Oreochromis niloticus: one gene and its partners. Each later gene encodes a partner of the first gene's protein in a complex. Links are inferred from orthologs where the notes say so. Each region holds a gene or a part of one and is shown in the gene's direction. Other genes may lie near its edges.

Region 1 (8,450 bases):
GTCCTGAGGAAGAATAACCTGGACCAAAAGCTGCTGCTGGCCTTCTACCGCTCTTCAGTGGAGAGCATGCTTTCCTACTGCCTGTGTGATTGGTACACAGGGGCCACAACTGAAAACAGGAAGGCTGCACAGAGGGTAATTAACACCACCCAAAAAAATCTCTGGCTGCCCTCTGCCAACCATGGAGGTCCACACCTCCAGACACTAACTTACACTAACAGCTTCTTCCTCTGGGCCATTCCAACTGTAAACAGGCCCTATCCCCCCACTCCCAGGCTCTGTCCAATCACCTCACAAATCTGAGGCATGGTATGAGTAACCCACAATTTTGTTGTACATGTACAATGACAATATAGGGCTATTCTATTCTATTTCTGAAGTTTAACCAATTGGTGTGTGTTATCTGGCTTCACAGATAACACACACAGTTGGGTGTCATCTGCATAGCAGTGAAAATGTATGCTATGCCTTCTGATGATACTGCCCAAGGGAAGCATGTATAATGTAAACAGAATTGGTCCTAGCACCCTGTGGAACTCTGTGGAAGAGGACTCTCCATTTACATGAACAAATTGGAGTCTATTAGATAGATATGATACAAACCACTGCAGTGCAGTACCTGTAATACCTACAGCATGCTCTAATGGCTCTAATAGGATATTATGGTGGACAGTATTGAACGTTGCACTGAGGTCTAGCAGGACAAGTACACAAGTACAGAGATGAGTCCACTGTCAGAGGCCATAAGAAGGTCATTTGGAACCTTCACTAAAGCTGTTTCTGTGCTGTGATGAGCTCTGAAACCTGACTGAAACTCTTCAAATAAGCCATTCCTCTGCAGATGATCTGTTAGCTGTTTGACAACTGCTCATTCAAGAACTTTTGATATGAAAGGAAGGTTGGAGATTGGCCTTGGTTAAAGGGTCAAATGATGCCTTTTAAAGTAATGGTTTATTTACTACCAGCTTGAAGGCCTGTGGTACACAGCAAATGATAAGAGAGAGGTTGATCATATTCAAGACTGAATCATTAACTAATGGTATTACTTCTTTTAGCAGTAGCAGTAGTCTTTCCTACAAGATTTCCTTCGGTTATAACCTGCTCTCAGTAACAATGTCACGGTTCTGGGTCCGTTGGACCCAGTATTTTGAGTTATGGTTTGGTTTAATTTTGAATGATGGATTGTTTTCGTATTCTCTTGTGATGGTGATGATTATTAGTTTCTTGTTTCTGTGTTTAAGGATTTGTGGTTTCATGTATTGTTTGAGTTCCATGTGTTTTCTGTCTCTCAGTGTCAAGTCTGCGTTCTTGTTTAGTAATTCATGTTTCCTGTTTTATTGTGAAAGTCTTTGTCTTATGTTAGTGTGTGCAGCTTGGTTCCCCCCGTCTCGTTAGCCCTGATCTCTCCCAGCTGTGTCGCCCTCCTGTTGTCCATTCCCTCATTACTACCCTGTGTATATAAGCCCTGTGTTTTCCCGTGCTCGGTGTCGTGTCGTACCATCAGATCGTGCCTGTGTGTTCACTTCATGTTTTGTTTTCGTACCAGCAATAAAGCTGAGGTTTTTGAGTTTCAAGTTAGTGTCTGAGTCCTGCGCTTGGATCCTCCTCTCCGCCTGCCCGCACGCAGAGCCCTGACAAACAAGGTCTACAGATGTCTTTAATTTCTCAGCAAGTTTAGTCAAATGGTTTAATGTAAGCATCCTGTCCTATTATGACACTTGAAGCTGAAGCATCACTGACCTCCACATGACCTCTCCTGAAGTGATTAACCACAACATAAGAGTCTGTCTTGTGGTTTAGAGGTCAGATCTCACATCAACTGATCACTGAGCAAATGTGGTGAAAAACCATTGACTATATAACAGGCATAGCCTCTCTGACCTCACTCATTGGTTTGCGGGTTTTGTTTTGTTTTTTTCTTTAAGTAAAAAGTGACCATATTTAAGTAAGAATGTTAAGCTGGTAGGGATTCCTGAAAACTGATTGGATAAACACCTATGAGGCCTAGTATTTACATAAGGGCTGAGTTATTTTTTTAAAAAGAACTCTGCCAATACGATCATTCCAGGAATCCTGGCTGACAAACTACAACAAAGACTCCACTTCCTTAGGATGCTGAGGAGAAACCATCTGGATAAGAAACTAATGGTAGCTTTTTACCACAGCACCATAGAGAGTGTCCTCACCTACTGAATCACAGTTTCGTATGTTAATTGCTCAGTAGCGGACAAGAAGAACCTGCAGAGAGTCATTAAGACAGCACAAAAGATCATTAGCTATCCCTTACCCTCTCAAGAGGACATAGCCAGCACTTGGCGTTTCAGGAGAGAAAAGGAGAAGATCGACGCTGACTTGTCCCACCTTGGACAGCACCTCATGCCCTCTGGTAGGAGGTAGCAGTGTTTAAAAGGCATTACAGCCAGGCTGAAAAATAGCTTTTTTTCCTGGGCCATCAGAACATTGAACACTAAGCCTAGTGAATGGACCTAGTGAGCCTCACTTACCAACCCTCAACCTGCAATAGTCCAGTTAATATTCAGTACAATGTTCACACAATGTTGCCAAATTTAACATTACATCATAGTGCAAAACACCAGCATGACATGGCACAATATACAATAACACCCACACTCAAGGGCTGCTGCTACCTACCAGCAAGAGCCCTTTTTGGCAGAACTGTATTTATGTGTATTTAACTTGTATATTTGCTATTTTAATGTTAATATACTCACTCTTTTATTTTTACTATCTTACTATATATAACAAGTTAACCATTTTAACTACATGTACAATTAAAATGGGTCCATGTACAGGACACAAAAATCTGGATTTCCCAGAAGCTTATGATCATGTCACCCTTAGAGTAAATTAATAAAGGAGCCTAACATTTTGTTGCATATCAGCACATTTTTCCATCATGAATGAACAGTGTGGATATAAAAACATAAGCAGGTGAATGAAGCTGAAAATCTGAAGAGGAAACATCTGAAGTCAGATGTCATGTTACAGACATAAAACTGGAGGGTTTGCCCAACCGTAGCTCAAGCTTTTGTTCAAGCAGAAGTTTTTTTAATGTGAAATACAGATGACAAATCAACCTTCACATAAAACACAAAGTAAAGCTTTATTGGTGATTAAGATCACCTTTAACTCCTGAAGTAAGGTAAGTAGCGTTGTTAGAGGCTTAATGAGAAGCAGAAAGCAGTAGGTGTCCTGACCTCTGACCAGGATCCTAATGCACTGCAGCTGTCCATAATAAGCAGCTTCATGAAGAGCGATCCAGCCTTCATCATTTGGCTCCATAAGGCTGCTTAACCGCCTCCGGACCAATTCCATCAGAGCCTCTGCATCCCCACTCATGATGATGGACTGTAACGGACTGACCTCTCTGAGGGAACACACAAACCTTCAGAACGACAGACTTGGAACCAGAGTCAGATCCAACACAGAGCCGCTGCGCTGGAATCAACACAGAGTCAAAACCACGATAACAGAACCAACAGATAGTCAGAACAAACACAGAACAAGAGTAGAACGACAGAGTCACAAGCACAGAGCAAGAACTAACACAGAGTTAGAACCACAAGTCAGAAACAAGCCCTCCCACCTCCTCACACACACACACACACACACACACACACACACACACACACACACACACACCCTGCAACCATCTCCAGACTGTCTGACACTCACTCTGAAATGTCTATTGATCTCTTGCTGCTTTCTGATGTTTGCGGATGTTTCCATCCTCTGAGCTCCATTTCATTCCGAACTGACTCACCTCTTGTAGACCTTGTAGAGAAACTGTGACAGGGCTGTGGGAGGGTTTATACAGTTTTGGATGTGGGGGACAGGTTCAGGTGCAGAAACCGTTTGCACCCTTTTGGAGGGGTCAGGACCTCTGTGTGTGGGGTTAGGGTTTGTTTGGATTGGGCCTGATGATGATGATGATGAAGCCTGTTTATCAGACAAGCTTCTCTCGACAGCGATCTGCAGCAGCTCCTCATCTGCCAGGTGACTGTAGATGCTGTAGTCATCCAGGTTCTGCTCAGAGACTGCCATGTCAGACAGAGGAACAGGAAACGGTTTGCTGTCTGTGTTTCTCGTTAACGCCAGCAGCGTGTGGACAGCAGTGGGTCATCCAAGGTGATGGCGTTTTGGCCTCAGCTGCTGCTGAATGATGTCAAGACTGTGGGTCAGCGGTGTTTGTTTCCTCCAAGCTGAAGCCAAAAATTCAAACACTGTGAGAGCTGGTGTCAGCAATATCTACTGTCCTGCACCCGAAAAACAGCCTCCACCAACAACACAGATGGAAACAGGATCGATGCACATAACCAGGCTCACAACAGCCCAGAAAACTACTAACTGATTTGTGTTATCAATCCTTTAAACCCGGTCGGTCAACAGCAGCCTGATAAAATTTGAAAGACTCAACTACTAACCCATCTCACAGATTTAAATTCAATGATTTCAAACACACAAATTTAACCTAAATTAATTCTAAATCAGAATCATTTAAAAATTGGTAAACACAGAACTGACTGTTTGATTTAAATCTAAATTTGATGATAAAAACAAAACAACATTAAAGTGGATTCAAGTGTGGTTTGAAGTTCCCCATATTCAAACATATAAAAATAAAATAAAACAAACTGTTGATTGGGTACTACCTGTGAAACAATCCAATCAGGAAGCAGCACTCTCTGGTCTGCAGCAGAAGGTCCTGGTTCAGAGTCCGAAGGTCTGATCAACTCTGAGCTTTCATGAGCCGGATCGTCAGCCAACTCTGACACTGAGACTGCAGCTGAAGGTCAGCCCCTGTCCTCCTTCTCCTCCTCCTCCTTCTCCTCCTGTCTGTCTGGTCTCACCTGTCCCCATCTGTTTGCATTATGTGTTTTTGTCTCGGTATGACAGTAAGTGTAACTTAAGTGGCTCACCTGCCTGCTCTGTCCCAACTACAGGTCATTCAGAAACCTCTTAGCATCTAACAAAGGGCCAACAGGGCTAACCTGTGATTACCTGGCCTAAAATGGTGATTGAACACAGAGCAGGAAACAATCTCAGAGCTTGACAGGTGAGGCATTCATCACATAAGCTGTGAGCTTCATGTTCACGTGAAAAAAAAAAAACATTTCAGAAAAAAGACGAAAAACCTGAATGCAGAAAGTGAAACACCTGACCCTGCAAAATAAAACAAATGAGTGCGGATCTGAAGCACGTGACGTGGATAGTTTTATTTGATGGTTATTGAACTTTCAGGTGCGTTTACAGGTGATGGGACAGCTCAGAATGAGAGCGGGTTCTGGATCGAAGACACGTTCTGGACTTTATGAATGAGCACGGACAGCCGTTTCCATGGAGACGGATCAGCTGCTGCACTGCGTCTCCAGCTTAACACCCTGCAGCTCATCTCCCGGTCCCGGTTCAGGTCGGGCTTGCAGCCTCATGACTCCGTTTAGGTTGGCTCAGCCCGCTCTGCTGCCCACGTGTCACTCACGGTGATGAAGCCTCCTCCTCTTCGTCCTTTGGTGTGAAAATCAGCCTCATACCGTCTCTGAGCTTTGACGCTGCCCGGTACCAGTCTGCGTATGACAGACCAACAGAGTGGGCGATTCGGTTCGGTTGTGCACTGTCGAGGATGACGGACTCAAAGGAGCACGGAGGAGCGCAGCCGCAGTTCTGCGTGACGCTCCCACCGCAACCCTGAGCTGAAGCAGGTGGAGAAGATCTGGACTTCGTCAGAATATTTGGAGATGTGCGCCGAACCAGAGAGGGGGTCCATCTGATTCATCCCGCGCCCGGTTTGTGCGGTTTCCTACATTCAGTCTTTAGATTTACTCCGAATAAATTTCGTGTGCGGAGTTTTGGACTGAGGGTGGTGTGAATGAAGAGTCCTCGGGGAATAAAAGAGTTAACTGGAGCTTTTTACATGCAGTCTGGCTGCGGCTTCTCTGCGCTGCACTTGATCTGCTTGGAAACGTGTGACACATCCCGGTAACGGTGTGACGGTTTGGGATGTTAGGGGGGATTTTTCTGGAGGAATCGCAGTTCTGTGAGCGCCGAACCGCAGATCGTGCCGTGAGTGTGTGGACGGGTTTTGTTTGGGATCTCTGATAGCCCTCATCGTGTGCAAATGAGCGCATTCGTGAGACTTTGTCAGACTTTTGAACGGAGTCTGGAGTGACGTTCAGCTCGAGCAGGGATCTCCTTGGAAACGGTTAGTGACAGATCCGCAACCCCCGCCCCCTCAACAGGGATGGTCGGAGCTGATACGACTGCTCCCCCTCTAGCAGCCAGATGTTACCCGGCAGGATGGCCCTGAGCCCAGCTGGCGTGCTGTGCGGCCCGCTGGAGGAGCTGCAGGAACTCGCCTTCATCGAGAGGCCGATCCGTAGGAGCCTGAAGGTGGGTGTGTGTGTGAGAGAGAGAGACGTAAAGTGATGAGGAGGAGGGTGAGTTAGTGGGAGGAAGATCAGCAGTCTCAGTGGAAGAAGCAGAAGGGAGACCCGCAGCATGACGCAGTTAGTCCGCCTGTCTGTCTGCAGAGAGACAGATAGGTCTGAGGTGCACCGAGAAAAACGGCCAATAACTGGTCGATTAATCAGTAATCATGAGAAACAGAGTGAAGCTGTCTCTGATCTAATTTAAGACAGTCGCTAATCATGACTGATCAGTAACTGAAAAGAAACGCGCTGCCTGGTTCTTACACCTGTAGCTGTGTGGGCGGGGTTTCACCATGATGACAATGGGGGGGGAGGCGGAGCTTGGGTGTTCTTACGGGAGAAAGCTGATGCGATGACGACAAACACACCTACACTGTGTGCATGTGTATGTGTTGTTATGGGTGACAGTGGTCAGTCAGACCTCAGGTGAGCTTCTCCGTGTCCTCTCATGACCTTCCTGCACGTGCAAACGCTCAGGACAGTTCCTCATTGACAGACGTAACCTGGAATTATCTGTGTTGCGCCCATAACAAGAGCTGTTCCATTTCTCCAAACACTAAGGAAAGGAGCTTCAGTGCTTCCTTTATTGCTTCCTTTAGCAGAGGAGACACTGGAGCATCCTTTATGAAAGGGAGGAGAAAAAGCCAAATCTTAATTCATAGCATCTGATCGTTCATGAAAACAGTCAACATATTAAACAAAGTGAAGCAGATCATGAGAACATTCATCATAGCTGCATTTTCCATTTCAGGATTAGAATATTTTAATAATCCCTAAGGAAATTATGTGGTTTCATCCATAACCCGTTGATATATTTATAGTTTTTATAGCTGTTAAACTCACAGCTGAGATCTGAACATTACACAGCTGGAATAAAACTACTTCCGGTTGAGTTGTTGCTCCATGAATGCATAACGCTGTATGAGCTCAAGATTATGATCTATATCAGGGGTGGGGAAACTCCAGGCCTCAAGGGCTGGCGTCCTGCAGGTTTTAGATGTGTCCTTGATCCAACACAGCCGATTTAAATGGCTAATAACCTCCTCAACATGTCTTGAAGTTCTCCAGAGGCCTTGTAATGAACTAATCATTTGATTCAGGTGTGCTGACCCAGGGTGAGATCTAAAACCTGCAGGTCACCGGCTCTTGAGGGCTGGAGTTCCCCACCCCTGATCTATATGAGCAGATCAAAGTGTGTGTAAGGTTCTGTATAATCAGTGATCATTAGTAATCATTAGTAATGTCCTTTGTTGTATTAGAGGCTTTAGGAGTCATGTTTACTTCAGGTCAGGTGGGATCAGTGATGATGGAGACAAGCAAAAAAATAATAAATAAATACCGTATACACAAGATAACTGCCAGAGGGCAGACGCTTAAACACCTGGTGTCCTGGGTTTGTGCAGTCCTGCAAGATGTTGCGTGCCTTTTTGAGACAGCGGATGTTACAGCGGTCCTTCAGTGATTTTCTAGGCCATGTTAGCAACCCTTTTTAATCAGAATACTTTAATAAGGAAATTGTGTGGGTTACAGTTGATCCAAGACAATAACAGTAACAGATAGTAAATAATACTATATAATCCAAAGTTTACATAATATAAGAAATAGCTCTAATATATACAAATAGCTCAATTATAAATATGCCTTCTTGTGTGCCATGCTGCGGCTCAAGAACTACACAGAGATGCAATACATCACCACACCCTCAAAGGCCTTCTTCACAATTTCCAAGGTGTTTGAGCTCCATTGGAGGTCTGTGTCCATATCAGAATCAGAATTAATAAAGCATTCTGATTCTGATTCTGATATACACATTCAAGAGCTTGAAGCTGGACACCCTCTCCATCCACTCTATTGACGTAGATGTGCTGCAGGTTGGACTTCCTCCTCCTGAAATCAGTGATCAGTTCTTTGGTCTAGGGGTGTTACGGATTAAGTTGTTGTCTGCACACTACCCTAGCAGTCTTTGGACCTCATCCCTGTAATTGTAGGATGATTTATTAACAA
Region 2 (8,181 bases), about 14 Mb from region 1:
GCCAGGGCAATCCCAACAACTTTGTGTCCATGGAGGCATGCCAACGAGAGTGTGGAGGTGTGGAAAGGGTGCCTGTATCCACAACTTCAAGAGAAACTACAAGGAGAGCGACACTCAGGGACCTTCTGAGAGCAAGGCCATAACCACATATGCCACTGATATCTCCAAAAGTGCCCAGTCATGCTCCCGCTTTGAAGAAAATCAAGTGATTTTGGTACACAAATGCAGCCTATAGTGTACACCCCAAATAAAGAAAAAAAAGAAAAGAAAAACTAACCACATTATATATTTCATTTAAACATTTTTACCATCACAAATGTTATAGCTCTTGGCCCTGATTTCACTGTCTTTCAGTTTGTTTTTGTGATCTTCACTATGTCATTGTATGCTTTTTTGCCCTGTAAGTCGGGATTAAAACAAAACTAATTTCTTTGTAATTACTCAAATTGAATCATATATCCAATTAATAAATGTTCAGCTATGGTGTAATTTTGAAAAAAAAAAAATGCTTTATTTGCATCTTCATTTCTTGTCGGACATCATTACTGACATGTCAATACACAAGCAGGATAATAGTAAAAGCTACTCTGAGGTGCTCCCAAGTTCACAAGGGGTCACCACAACAGCTAGCTCCAAATGTATGCTGGATGTCTTTCCTGATGCAAACCTGAAGAGATTTGTGTGTCCTCTCAGTGATGAATGAGAGATCTTTCTATGTTATGTGAATGGGTAAACAGCTACACTATAATTGCTACAATTTAGATTTACATTTTTTTACACATGAAATAATTAGCAAGTGAGCTCACAAACTCATTAGGAAGGTAATTTATTAATTTATTTCCCACAAACTTCTGTACAACCAGAAGTCTTTTATGCAGGAGACTTGCAGGGGCTGACAAAGCACTCGGCCCCTGCTGGCCATTAAAAAGTAAGGCACCTTTAGATCGCTTCTCTGCTGACTACACTTTTCAACCTGGATCTATTTTTTTTTACAATGTCTATGATAATTTAAAAGAGAGAATTTAGAATAAATAATGTGTACCTTCACAAACAAAGTCTACTGAAAAAAACCACCTTTTAATCATTACCGTAGCATTATCGGACTTTTATTTTGAAGCCAAAACTATACTTTGGAGGGACTCAATTTTACAACCGGAAGAGTTCTTTTTCACTTCCCCTAAGTTTTTTTTTTAGACCAAACAGCTAAATCGCACGGGGTACTGAGAAGTTACGCTGAATACGATTTTTTTCAGTTTTGCATAGCCAGTAAATAGCGAGGCTTTGCGTTGAAAACAGAGATGGTAAGTGTGCTTTATTTTACATCTAAAGAGCTAATAATTCTCAGTTTAGGCCACACTAGCTTGTGCTAATCACACACAGCTAAGCTAACAAGCGTCGAGGCTAACGCTTTGCAATTCTTGTTAAACACGCATTTTTGCCCACCGCTTCTGTGTTTCTTATAACTTAATTTCATCATCTAATCAAATTACATATTTTTATTAAAGTGAGATGTGGCTGAAGTAACGTTAGGCTGGATGTTTTGTAAAAGACTGATGAAGTCGGTGGTCTGCAGCTGAATGACCATCCTTACACTGGAGTTGGAAAATGTCTGGGCAGAAGGTTACACAAGTTTCAAAAACTCGCAAAAAAAACCTCTAATTAGCTGCCCGATTAAGGTGATTTGGTTTGACACAGAGAAACTGCGTGGCGGTGTGTATTAAACATTATCAATCATTTTACAGTCGCACACAATTTTGCTTGTCCAACCAACCAAGAGACCAGAGGGCCGCACATACGCTGACTATGAGTCAGTTAATGAATGCATGGAGGGTGAGTCTGTTTAATGTTTTCATTCATAATTCATCTCGCAGTTTTTTTTAATATTTACTTTCGTTGTAACAAGTAGTAGCAGCAGATGTAATTGTATTGTATTCATCATCTATTGTGATTCCTCATTCATTTTAAGGGATATTTTTCTCATAGTAAATACATACAAATGATAGGCCAGTAAATAATAAATTCATCCTAGTACCAAGTATTGTTTGTGTATGGGATTATGTGGTTAAGCCTAATTTGTGAAAAAAACAGACTGATAGTAATCACTTTTTAGTTTCTGGAAAGTAAAAAAGAGAACGTGAGAACGGACATGTTTTTTTTGTTTTTTTTAAATTATGTGACTCTTTAAACTATGGACTCAGGAAACCTGAAATTCATTTTTTTTATGTCAACATCCTACTTGTATAGCACAAAAAACTTGTAAACTTGTGCTTACTATAAAAGTTTAAAAACAACAACAACAAAATGTAATAAAGAATACAAAGGGTTTTAAATCTGTTTTTGAATGTCGTGTGTTTGCGGCTCTACATTAATGGATTTTGAACTGCAGTTAAGCTCTATTGAACAGAGATTAATCAAGGTTCACTTACACAAAGAATAATCATTGGTATCATATTCAGAACTGACTGTGATAAAAATACATGAATTTACTCAAGTTATCCATTACGTAGTAATGGGGTTTACAGATAATAAAGGCATTAAAGGGATATGATAAGTAAGAGGTGTTTACAATTGTGTTGTCTGTCTTGAACTGCAGTATACACTTTTCAGATTAAAACTACCTTATTAATCCCAGAGGAAATGATGTGGTCACAGTTGCTTTAAGACAGTAAGAACAGTAAATAACAAATTAATGTACCAGTTAAATACAGGATGTTTCAAAATGGCTCTAATAAATACAGATCGCTCTGATATATAAATATCCCAGGCTATTACACAAAATAAGTATAGGTGATGTGCCCTCTCATCATTTTAACTTTATTTTCTCTGTAAAGGATGTGACATTAACGGTATGCAGCTATTGCTGTTTGTGCACTTCTTTTTTTTTCCTTTCTTTTTTTAAAAAGCTTTTTTGGCTTTATTTTCATGTTCAAAGTGACGCAAAAGGTTTGTTTGTTTTCAGGGTATAAGTATATCACTTTATTCCCTTTATTAGGCCCTCTTTATTTATCCTGTCTTTCTCTTTCACTGAATACTGTACACCGTAATTCGCTATGAATTACTTTTGTTTTTTGCTGTTTTAGCCTTTTCCTGTGGATTGCATTTTTTTGTTGTTGTTTTTGCTGTTTTGCTTCCATTCAGCATGTCATCTGCCTCTCCCCCAGGTGTTTGCAAAATGTATGAAGAGCATCTCAAGAGGATGAATCCAAACAGTCCCTCCATTACTTATGACATTAGTCAGTTGTTTGACTTTATTGATGACTTGGCAGATCTGAGCTGTCTTGTGTAAGTATAATTAGCTGTCTATGAATTTGAATGCAACACAACATTCCCTTTGGATGCATTGGTCACATTTCAATAAAATATTTTACTTTTTATGCAGATATAGAGCTGACACTCAAACATATCAACCATACAACAAAGACTGGATAAAGGAGAAGATATACGTCCTCTTGCGGCGTCAGGCTCAGCAAGCGGCTAAGTCAGTTTGACAGGGGGGATTCTTTCATATTGTACCAAACATGAGGAAGAGAGATTGGAAAAAATTGGGGGATGTGAAAAAAAATTGGGGATTTTCTTTTTGGAATTGTCATCCTTGGCAGCGTGTGTGTGTGTTTGTAATTTGTAATGCAAAGCCCTTTTCAGACATGGTTCCACCACTGTGCTTAAGCGACGGCACTTTTTTCATTCAGACACGTAAGCTCTTTTCACACGTGCACTGCAGCCTGAAGTCTTTCTTGACATTACCTGAGAGAGGTGCATGTAAGAACACAAAGGTGTGATGCAGTTGGATTGGACATTAAATGGATTTCAGCCTGGAACAAAATTCATGTGATGTGCATAGAAACTTAGTAGTCATATTGTGTCTTTTCTATAGGATATTGCTATCATGCAGCTCCCTCGCCTAAACCACATGGAAGGCTTGCTTTTGTGTTACGTGTGAGAAAGAAAAGTTTACACAATGTCCTGATATGCCTGTTCCAACATTTTAAGTTTGTGTGTGACAACGGCTATACTGGCAAAAGTGTCATTGATCTCGCAGGACATTTGCCATACATGAATTCATTCGTATTCATTACCTTTTGAAAGTAATACATTTAAAAAAACTAATAAGGTTAGTTATTTAATTATGAATCTGACATGTGCCATCAAATGGCTTAAAAGGACTACATGTATGAAAAGGGCTTCTTTCTTTTTTTTCTTTGTAAAGACTGCATTGCCCATTTAACAAAGGGAATGTTTTCACATCATGCTCATTGGCAAAAGAGGCTTGGAAAAAATGGGGTGAAATTGTACATTTTGGGCTTTATACTGAAAAATTGGGTCATGGTTGGGAACCTGCATGTTTATAAGTTGTTACACTATGATGAGAAGAATGGGACTTTGTGGGCTAAGCATGGAGAAATACTCCGCGGGGTAGAAAAACTTTCTTTGTGTGTGTTTTTCAGTTTCCTTAAAAGTTATGTGAATTTTATTTTTTTCCCTATGTACATTTTCCTGGGAGGTTGAATTTCAAGACGTTGTGGACTTTGAAAGCAGCCGTTTTATTTTTGAAGTAGATCAGTGGCTGAAGACTGATGATCACATGACAACCCAGGAGATTTGTTACTATAATTAATGGAAAGTTTTGAGTTTTCATTATGTTTTAAAAGCCTACCATTGTGATATAAAACGTTTTTGTAATCCTGTTGTTTTGCATAACATCTGATTTCAACTCTCCATTTCTGTTTTCTTTTATTGAAACAAAATAAACGATTGTTTCTGACTGGTGTCCACTCATAAATATGCGACCATTAGTGCGATGAACACTGAATTTTTATACACAATGATAGTGTGGCTGACTGCTAAGTATTGCAAAAGTTAGACCATTCATGCTGGACGTGGCCTCAAGTTCAGTTTATTTTCTCTGTTACTGTCTCTTTAAATGTGGCGGGCTGCCCTGTTGTTGCCGTGCTGGAAACCCCGTACTGACTGTGAAGGGACCCAAGATGGCTGAATACTCACGGGGGGCACTTAGCAATTATCTGAGCAAGACATCGGCAATGAATGGCAAATAGCAGTATAATGTAAAGCGTAACCTTCAAGTAATTATACGACTCCAGTTTGTTGGTTTGCACAGTTTTTGGGATGCATGAGTAAGAGTAAGGAGAGAGTGGTCTCTCCGCGGCCCCGAGCCAGAACATGGCGGAACACTTGGGGAAGAAATAGCAGCTAACGTTAGCTAGCTGGCGTATTATTTAAAGAAGAATAGAAACATTGTTCCAGGCTTAAAACGGGTGTCTGTTGTCCGCAAGTATAAAGTAATGTTATCGACAGCTAACTCTAGTTAATCTGCTTCAAATGGTAGTTTAACATTGAATATATGGAGCGTAGGTACTTAGCGTACTAGCTAGCGAGTTAACTCGTAAGGGTTGATAGCTAACGTTACCTGTAAGCGTACAAACTGTACATATAAGCAGGAGTGTTTCGTGGGCCAGTCATCGTAACATTTGCTTCTTTTTCAGTACTCTGTTCTCAGCTGTATATTGTAGTGACATTCGTTGTTTTGTCGTTTAACGCGTAAGCTAACGACGTCCTCCGCTCTTTAATTTGTCGTTAGCTTCCTACAATGGTTTGTACGCGGATTCTGCGTGGCGCCTTGCCTATAGTGCTGGCAGTCTAAGTTTTGAGGCAGCTCGTCAAGAAATGCGAGATATTGCAGTAGTAATTTTAACAACGATTGCGGAATCCTGCTGGAAAGTTGTTGAGGCGTTCCACTTTTAAGTTGCTTTTTAGAACTTATCCTAAGTGACCCCCCGCCGCTTCATATTTAGTTAATACTCTTGTAGAAGTGAGCAGCTGTAAAAAGTGAATTGAAGTTGTGGCGTTACTAGGTGAAGAAGACACCCCGTAAAAGGCCCGGAAGGGGAGAACGGGTTACAAGAAACTGCCAGGATGACGGACACTCGTCGGCGAGTCAAAGTCTATACCCTCAATGAGGACAGACAGTGGGATGACCGTGGGACCGGGCACGTCTCGTCGGGCTATGTGGAGCGCTTGAAAGGCACGTCTCTCCTGGTGCGAGCAGAGAGCGATGGTAAGCGAACATAGGAATGCCACGCGATTATTGTAGTAGCTCAGTTATTACTACAAAAACAATACCTTCCGCGCACTAATTTTAACCACCTGTATCACCTGAAATTTGCACATGTATTACTCGTTTGAAGCAAATGCAGTAACCTACAATTTTGGGCTACCTTTGTGTTAAACCTGACAGGTTCCCTTCTGCTGGAGTCCAAAATTAACCCAAACACAGCCTACCAGAAACAACAGGTCAGTACATAACATGATGAACATACAAAACTGAATTTTTTTCCCCATTCTGCTGTTTATTTTAAATTGGCTTTGTTTTTCTTTTGAAAAGGACACATTGATAGTGTGGTCAGAGGCTGAAAATTATGATCTAGCACTCAGTTTCCAGGAGAAGGCTGGCTGTGATGAAATCTGGGAGAAAATATGCCAGGTTAGTGTACTTCATTTGTGTGGGTTTGAGTTTTTTTTTATCTCCATTAGTTTGTGGATTTGATGCTATTTGTGTTACCGGTGATCCCTTATGTAGTTACATCCTGAGGTTCTAATATGTTTGTCCACACTTATGTTTTATTGTTAAGGTGCAGGGAAAGGACCCTTCAGTTGACATCACACAGGATGTGGTGGACGAATCGGAGGAGGAGCGTTTTGATGACATGTCATCCCCAGGTTTGGAATTACCGCCATGCGAACTGAACCGTTTGGAGGACCTGGCCGAGCTGGTGGGCTCTTCTCTCCCATCACCACTGCGACGTGAAAAACTAGCACTGGCTGTGGAGAATGAAGGCTATATTCGCAAGCTCCTGGAATTGTTCCGTGTTTGTGAGGATTTGGAGAACAGAGAGGGACTGCACCACCTGTATGAAATAATGAAAGGCATCTTCCTGCTGAATCGTACTGCACTCTTTGAGGTGATGTTCTCTGATGAGTGCATAATGGACGTCATTGGTTGCCTGGAGTTTGACCCAACACTCCCGCAGCCAAGGCGGCATCGTGAGTTTCTCACTAAAACAGCCCGGTTTAAGGAGGTGATCCCCATCTCTGATCCTGAACTGCGTCAGAAAATTCACCAGACATATCGGGTGCAGTATATTCAGGATATGGTGCTGCCCACGCCCTCTGTTTTTGAGGAAAACATGCTGTCCACCTTGCACTCCTTCATCTTTTTCAACAAGGTGGAGATTGTGGGCATGCTACAGGTGAGATAAGCAGACATGTAGTATGATCTAATAGTATGGAGTTGTTGTTTTTACTTTGTGTAAACACTACATTTTAATTAAAATGGTTTAATTGAAGCAAGTGTTATAAATAGGTAAACTTGTGAATGTACTGTAATCCTCACAAAGGAGAATTTCTTTTATGAAATGTTAGTGAGGCTCGAATTACAGTAATTATAGGATTGTACATTGGTTTTATTTTTGACTGATTGTACTTTTACCCTGTCTGAGATTGTCTGGCAGCCTTTTATGATCATGTGACCTTTGTGTTTTTATCCTGTGTCAACTCAGCATTGTTTATGTATGGCTGTCTCCATGGAGGCACAGTAGTGTTGTGTAAATCTGTTATGCTGCGCTAGAGGAAAACTGAAACGGGCACATTGTTGACTCTGGTGTTCTTTGCTATATCACGCTCTGAAGTCAAACACTACAGATATGAGTCTTTCCTTCCTTAATTAGCATAGGGCAGGCAAGCTTAAATCAAGCGGTTCACTAACCAAGGTTTTAAAAAATATTTAAAGTGGTAGTAGATGTCATTGAATGAGACAGTGTTTTCAGCATAAACAAATCAAAAGTATTCTTATGACCAGATAGGTCACATTGTTTATGCTCCAAATTTCTCATTGACAAACATGATGGAATTCACTTTTGTTTTCTGTGTAATTATGTCGGACTTGTACCATTGTAAACCAATAACAGCTTTGTAACTTGTGAAAATTGGGTGTCTGGCATACATTGACATATTAATCATACTCTTAATACTGACTTCTTAAAATCTCATCTCCCTTTTTTGATGTCAGGACGATGAGAAGTTCCTGACAGACCTCTTTGCACAGCTAACAGATGAGGCCACAGATGATGACAAAAGACACGAACTGGTATATCAGAATTTAATAAT
Region 3 (7,486 bases), on another chromosome or scaffold:
CATTAATTTGTCTCTGTAACGCCAAGTTAAGCAGGATTCTTCTTAGTGAAAGTGTTGCTCTGCTTAACGGACTGTGTGGTGGACACAAGCGAAACATTAATGTCTTTCTGATAAAGATGAAATGTATTAACAGTAAACCAATGATAGCTACTAATTTTTCTTTATTTTACCTCCAGGCTGATGTGAAGATTCCTGGGTTGCCACTGAAGGTGGTCATGGAGGCAATCCAACAGGCCACAGGTAGGCCCAAAACTGAGAAATATACCCTGTATTAAAATTTTATTTGCATGGCTCTTTTGTGGCATTTGCCTGTTGTTGTGTTTCAGTGGCAAAGAGGGAAATCTTGGGCATTATGAACAAATGCATAGCAAAACCCAGAGAGAGCAGGAAAGAGAATGGACCTGTTGTTGGTAGGTTATGCATGAATATGTATGTATACAGAAATATGCAATATTTAATAGAAAGTTTTTAATGTCATCTGTTCCAATATGTGATGTTTTCTGTCTTCAGAAAATGTTCGAGTACCTGTCTCAAGGCGAGCTCGCTTTGTTGGCCCTGGAGGCTACAACCTCCGCAGGCTTCAAGCTCAAACAGGTAATGCATAAGTAATAAAGTCTGAAAAAGGCAACTTGGAATGTGATGGTGACGTGATGCTAATCCAGCAGCACACAGATTCGTTTTTTCATAATAGAAACTGTTGTCCAGAATATAAAAACGTCACCACATTTTCTTCTTTGGTTTCAGGTGTGACAATAAGTCAGGTAGACGAGGAGACTTTTTCCGTGTTCGCTCCAACACCAGGAGCCATGAACGAAGCCCAACACTTCATCAGCGAGATCTGCAAAGACGATGTGAGTCTCCCCCTCTTGTAATTACCTTCTGTCTTTATTCAGAGCCTTTCAAAAATTGTGTTAAAATGTGCTCTACAGAGAACCCGAAACAAATTAAAAAAAGAGAAATATAGTATAAAGCTTAAGCAAGATGGCATTTAAACAAAGAAATAAGAGAAATAATCCTGATCAATACACTTAAAAAAACAGGAAAGCTCTCAGCATGCTCTAATAAAACAAGGAAAGAGGTTTTATATTTCTATATTTCTATATTCTGATAGTTTCTTTGCACCCTTTTATGCACATTTATAAACTCAATTGCTGTTTTATACCACAATGCAAACATTACCTGGATAAACAAATCAAAACATTAAGAACAACTGCTTACACATATTACACATATTCATAATGTATGTAGGTGAAAATTGGTGTATTTCTTTGTTTTGCAGCAAGAACAGCAGCTGGAGTTTGGTGCTATCTACACTGCCACCATCACAGAAATAAGGTAAACTAAAACAATGCGTTATTTACCAACAAACAGTGTTTGTTTACAGTTATTTCCCCACACTTGGAAACTGATTTATGTATAAATAAAATCTTGCAGCCTTCATACAGCTCATCTGTTCTTCTGCTCCTCTGCTTTAGGGACATTGGCGTGATGGTGAAACTTTATCCCAACATGACTCCTGTCCTGCTGCACAACTCGCAGCTGGACCACAAACGGGTTTGTGAATTTGTCTGCGTAAAATGGTTTTCCTTTTGAGTCTGATGGTAGAATTTTTACTTAAGTCACTTCCTTTATTTTCCTTTTAGATCAAACATCCAAGTGCTTTGGGTTTAGAGGTGGGACAGGAGATACAGGTGCGTCTCGGTTACTGCAGACAAGGCATTGCTAATTTCAGTCTGGGATGCTTGTATCTAAACTGTGTTCTGCTAACAGGTCAAGTATTTTGGACGGGACCCAACAGATGGCAGAATGAGGCTTTCACGGAAGGTGCTCCAGTCTACTGCTGCAAGCGTCGTAAAGAGACTGAATGACAAACAGAGCATCTCCATGGGTTCAAGCGACATGCAGACGACCAGTACAGATTCGTGACACTCCCCCATGACTGCCTAACTTCTGGCTTTTCTGTCAGAGTAGACTTGGACTGAGTCAAATTTCCCTTTTCAAACAACAGATCTTGTTATGAACTATACATAAAGAAGGTTACTCCGCTGCTGAGAGTATGGATGTGGCAAAAATGCTGCTGACATCATGCCTCGGAGAATTTGCACAAACAAAGGGATAAGACGAGGAGGCAAACATTTTCAAAAATACAAGTGTCTACCCATTTTCATGCTCTGTTGTTTGACTGTATCAAAGTTTTAAGATTTTTCTTTCATTACACAACAACAGTGCTTCTGTCATTCACGTGTGTGATAATGTTGCCTCTTGAGGCATATTTGGTATGTGCTGTAGCAGTGTGTCCACTAAAGAAAAGAAAGGCAAGTGGGTGACGTGTTAAAGAGAGGTGTTTTCTTAATCTTTATATGGTGTCGCATTTATATTATATGTGAGTAACTAAAATGTAAATAAATAACCAGCCACGGGTGGGCCACATGCCAGTGTACTCCTAGTGCTGTTACCAACCATGGATAAATAGGTCAGGAAGGGGATCCGATGTAAAATCTTCAAATCAAATATGTGGATCGTCAAGAATGAACGACTACCAATGGTGCTGTTGACCAGCAGGGTGCTGGTGGAAACTGCTGTGCAAGGACAAAGAAAGAGGAAAGAGGGAGGCAGCAGGAGAGAAGGAAAGGTTTGGAAATGAGAGTTGGGACTTTCTGTGTCGGGATTATGGAGCTGCCAGAAAGGAGGAAAAGAGAAGCTTCATTAATGTAGAGAAGGAGGACCTGCAGAGAGCTCGTGTGGCAGAGAAGGATGTAAGCGATAGGGTGAGCTGAAGGCAGATGATCCACTATGGCAGCATCTAAAAGGAGTAGCAGTATGGAGACGTAATATGTAAATAAAGTCATTAATGATTGCTTTATTCATGTCTTTAAGTCAACAAAACACCTTCCAACCATGCCAGAATGTACTGAGTGCATGCTTGTCAAATTTTCTTAATAAAAAGCTGATTTAATTGCATGTTTCAGTGGCCACATGCAGGCACACAGGTACTGCTTCAGCATGTTTTAAAAAAGACATTTGCTTCACAATAGGAAAGGTTCATCCAGTGGGTCCTTAAAAGAAACTGGATGGTGGAGATGATAACAGGAGAGCTGTAAAATTTCAACATTTATTTAAAACAATTTATTGCATAATATTGGACAGGGAAAGATCTAATAACTCTTTGGAGTCTTACAGAAGAATTAAGTGTTTCTCTGTTCAGCCTTAATCTAAAAGTCTTAGTCCTAATATGTAGGGTTGCATCAGGAAGGGCCTACAGAGCTGGAGAGAGGAGGAATGAAAATCAGTAGAAGCAAGACAGAATACATGTGCATGAGTTTAAATACCTCGGGGCTACCATCCAAAACAACGGACAGTGAACAAGACAGTATACGCAGGGTGGAGTGACTGTCGAGGTAATTTGTGGATATGTTGGACAAAGGATGTTGAAGATGGAGCTTGCCAGACAGGAGGACAAGAGGATGACCTCCGAGAAGATTCATGGATGCAGAGGAAGGTTGGTGTGACAGGAGGATGGACTGTGATGGAGGCAGATGATCCTCTGTGGCTCACCTTTCTCTGCAGAATAGTTTTAATTCAGTCATGTTGGGAGTTATTTGAACATGAACGGCCTGTTTAAGGTCATGCATCTAATTTAGGTCCCAACTTTGAATAGACCAATTCCAAACCTTTGTTTTGTTTTTGTTTTTTTTGTGACATTGAGTGAAGTTTTGGTGTTTTGGATCATTGTCTTGCCACATAACCCAAGTCTGCTAAAATTTCAGATGGCTGGACATTCTCCTTCATGATTTTCTGGTAGAGGACAGACTTCACGGTTTCATCAGCTGCATTTTCCAAGTCATAAAGCAGCAAACCAGCCCCGGACCATCACACTACCGTCACCATGTTTGACTGTTGCTTTGATAGTCTTTTAATTAAATGATAGTTTTACTTACCAAAAAGTTAATCTTTTGTCTCATTAGTCTGAAGAATATTTTCCTAGAAGTCTAGGAATTTATGCCAAAAAAAACATTAAGATTTTATTCCTTTCTCTCTTTCTCTGTAGATCATGGCTTGAAGTGTTGCTTTTTCCAAGAAAAATTCCTCGTTTGTGTAAAAAAAAAAAATTGGCAGTTATGATTGTGATTAATTAACGTGAAAAACTCTGTTAATCTTCTGCGTTAAGTAAGTATCTGCTTCCTCTATGAATTAAACAAGCTGAACCAAATCACATCTGTACATCATGCCAACATCTGCAAACGACTGTGGGTGCTATTACCTATCTCCACCGTAGGTGACGCGGTGAGCTGGGGGAGCCGCAGTTCTGCCATTGGACGATGCCGCCCGGGGGAGGAGACCCCGCGGCAGTTAGCGCTTGATTGACGTAGAAAAAGAAAAAGAACACAAGATCGGATTACAAGATGGCGGTCTGTGGACGTTAGCAAGAAGGCCGTTAGAGTTGTTGTGTTCTCTCAGAATTTTACAGTTTAATATTAGGCCCCTTAATAAGTAGATTCACGTCGTAATATGTTTATGAAATACCTACTAATATATTTTGCTGCTGTTGGGAACTAAATTTAAACATGCATGTTTTATAACATGCGGTTGGAAACAAAGTTAACAGGTCGAGGAAAACACTAGACGGGTGAGGTGATAGCTTGTTAGCAGAAAGCTAGCCTGCTAGCTCCGACTCGTTTAAACCATGTCGGACACTCGGCGGCGAGTGAAGGTATATACGCTGAATGAAGATCGGCAATGGGATGATCGGGGTACCGGGCACGTTTCGTCTACATTTGTCGAACGACTGAGGGGGATATCGTTATTAGTTCGGGCTGAATCGGACGGTAAGTTCCCTGTTAGCATAGCTGTTACGGTGGTTAGCATGCTAACTCCTGGTTGTTCGGAGAGAGCGCTTCGATTGCCCACAGTGGGTACCAGATTACCTTATTAGACTTTTTTTCTACATGTGGGGCAGACTTCACCGTCATAGTGCCAGAACTGTTAATATTAGGCACGTCTCTCAATAAATTGCAAATATTTATTGAATAGCTGTTGCTAGCATGCTCATTAGTTTGGTCCGACGGGATCTCGGTAGCATGGTGCCCCTGAAAGTCTGAACGTATAAACTTGTTATTGCTCTTTGTGGTTCATGTATGTGACAAAGAAAGTACATAAGGTTATTACAGTAGAACCCAAGGCCTGTTGTAGTTATTTTACCTTTGTGTTTGAGCATTTTAGTTTAATTCGATTGTTTTTTGTGTGTGTATTTGCATAGCCATAACTGTTTATTTCTAGACAGAATAACAAACCTCGTCTTTAAAGAACCGGTTTTCTAACTGGCTTGAATATTTAGTCACCTATATCTCTGTGCTTTAGGATCACTGCTATTGGAATCGAAGATAAGTCCTAATACTGCATATCAGAAACAACAGGTAAGTTTTTATTATTACCTGAGTCTGGCTCAGTTACAGATAGCACACACATTTCAATAATCCCAACACTGGTTTGAGATCTGCTGCTGGATAGTTACTGTAATCTAGGCGAGACAGTAGAAATTGGCTGACTGATGCAATTGTAAACTTGGTATCGAGTAATAATCGGGTAATGCCATGAGTAATTACCACACATGCGCCACACCTGTTTGTAAATTAAGGTGTCATTAGAATTATGGCATAAATAAGAAGTCTTCCCGCATTTATAGGTAAGTGTCTGAAAGACAATTTCCACCCTCCTTTAACAGTGAGCTGCTGTAGTTAATGAAACCTTTAACTAATTCAACTTAACCTTAACCTTGTAACTCTTCAGGAGCTGCACAATATTGTCTCATAAATAAAGAAAAATATTTTCCACCTTTTTCTAAATATTTTTGCATGTCTTTAAAATTACTGCTCTTTGTTGAAGGTTGAATAACTTCCTTTTTTTTAGGTACTGGAGGCTGACAGCAGCTCTTGTTCTCAGACATGTTGAGGCGTGTTTTGTTGTTGTGTTTTTTTTTTATGTATCAGTGTTATTGTGATATGACACTTTTATATGACCTAAAAATTTATAGCATTATTAATGATTAAGGTCGAGTCTGGCTAACTTCAGGTTTATTCCTGGATTTCCGGTGTTTTGGAGGTGGTTTACTTCTTATGAAATAGATTACTCTGGTAATTTACACTCCACACCTAATCTCCTCAGGAAAGGGTCATGTTTGAGACAAGAGATCAATTGGATCCCATGGAACAATTATTTCTATGAAATAATGCATGGAAGATCAATTAGAGCTTAGTGTGCAGATAGTAAGAGAATCTGAAGTTTGTCTCAGATCAGCATCGGTAAGAAATAGAGATTCTTGGGGGCAACTTTATTCCTTGCTTCTTTCCTGTTGACTGCAAACAATATTAAAACAACTTTATTGTTGTGTAGGCTGTAATACGTTGAAATGATACTAAAACAGAGAATTTAAACCTTTTCGTTTCTGACGTCATGAAACATTTGCAAGTTGGCTGCTTACCTGTTTGAAAAATTTTATTTTGTTAAATTTTGTCTCTACTTGCCCTTAGACTATTTCAAATTGAGTGAAAGAAGCAGCAAATCTAAATGTGATTAGCTTCTTTTTATTGTAATATAGTAATGAGGTCTTCCCAGATCTTTGACAGTAAGTTTGTTGCCTTAAATTATCAGAATTTGTACACACTTTACTATTTACTTTGATACTTTAATCATTATTACTTTAAGACATATATAACAATACTACAATACTACACAGTGCTTTTCTTCTCACACAGACTGACACTGTTGTTTTGGCTGCAGCAGTTGTGTTGCAGCGAGTCTGTATTATCTGTTTACCTACTTCATGTTATATAATGCTAATTTTATAGCATGATAGTATTCATAAACTATGCCCCTCAGCTGCTAATAGACCGGTTCATGTTTCTGGTTGGTCATGCTGCCATTGCTGCCTCTTTCATGTGAATGTGGTCATAGCTAGATCGGAAAACGCTCGTTTGACTTAGAGTTGATAACCACCTTGGTGAAGCTAGGTACAAAAAAGATATTCTGCATGTGTTTAACTTGCTTTGTCTGTTGTAGACTTTTGTTCAAACCATTTTCATACTCTGTGGATAAGTCACTGTCATGCTAGAGGAGTGCATTCCCACCAGGATAGAAAGCTTTATCCCTCAGATACACTTCAAGGATTTGCACCCAAATCCTGCCAGCAATACATACAAGAAGGCATAACGGAGCCACAAGATCCTCTGTCTGCAGGAGTTAAATGTTGACGTTTTTATTTTCGTTTGCTGCCTGTGTGTGTGTGTGTACATTTGTAGGCATGTGTTCAGTTAACATACAATTTAATGAATAAGTGTGTGTGTGTCTGTAAGTGCCTCCTGTGAAAGAGTTAAGCATGTCAGTGTGTAAAGTTTAATAATCCTTTGTCTTTGTTCCAGGACACATTGATTGTCTGGTCAGAAGCAGATAACTATGACCTTGCACTCAGTTTCCAGGAAAAGGCTGGCTG

What was found.
Region 2: ppp4r4 (region 1) and smek1 share a complex: the UniProt entries of both Homo sapiens proteins name them as parts of the PP4 complex. The link is inferred for Oreochromis niloticus from reciprocal best matches to the Homo sapiens genes PPP4R4 and PPP4R3A.
Region 3: ppp4r4 (region 1) and ppp4r3b share a complex: the UniProt entries of both Homo sapiens proteins name them as parts of the PP4 complex. The link is inferred for Oreochromis niloticus from reciprocal best matches to the Homo sapiens genes PPP4R4 and PPP4R3B.

What each region holds. Positions count from the first base shown.
Region 1 is NC_031980.2:26,952,225-26,960,674, forward strand, and holds the start of ppp4r4 (serine/threonine-protein phosphatase 4 regulatory subunit 4), read left to right. Parts: upstream 1-5,385; 5' UTR 5,386-6,300; coding exon 6,301-6,408; intron 6,409-8,450. Other genes in the region: ankyrin repeat and SOCS box protein 2, read right to left, coding at 3,219-3,388, 3,785-4,065. UniProt on the Homo sapiens protein: Putative regulatory subunit of serine/threonine-protein phosphatase 4.
Region 2 is NC_031980.2:12,515,262-12,523,442, forward strand, and holds the start of smek1 (serine/threonine-protein phosphatase 4 regulatory subunit 3), read left to right. Parts: upstream 1-4,939; 5' UTR 4,940-5,931; coding exon 5,932-6,073; intron 6,074-6,253; coding exon 6,254-6,309; intron 6,310-6,400; coding exon 6,401-6,499; intron 6,500-6,647; coding exon 6,648-7,265; intron 7,266-8,083; coding exon 8,084-8,161; intron 8,162-8,181. Other genes in the region: paplnb (papilin b, proteoglycan-like sulfated glycoprotein), read left to right, coding at 1-143; erh (enhancer of rudimentary homolog), read left to right, coding at 1,299-1,301, 1,743-1,830, 3,162-3,282, 3,380-3,488. UniProt on the Homo sapiens protein: Regulatory subunit of serine/threonine-protein phosphatase 4. May regulate the activity of PPP4C at centrosomal microtubule organizing centers.
Region 3 is NC_031978.2:10,561,449-10,568,934, forward strand, and holds the start of ppp4r3b (serine/threonine-protein phosphatase 4 regulatory subunit 3B), read left to right. Parts: upstream 1-4,394; 5' UTR 4,395-4,684; coding exon 4,685-4,826; intron 4,827-5,358; coding exon 5,359-5,414; intron 5,415-7,415; coding exon 7,416-7,486. Other genes in the region: pnpt1 (polyribonucleotide nucleotidyltransferase 1, mitochondrial), read left to right, coding at 177-240, 327-410, 511-594, 745-851, 1,280-1,335, 1,476-1,554, 1,644-1,691, 1,771-1,926. UniProt on the Homo sapiens protein: Regulatory subunit of serine/threonine-protein phosphatase 4 (PP4). May regulate the activity of PPP4C at centrosomal microtubule organizing centers.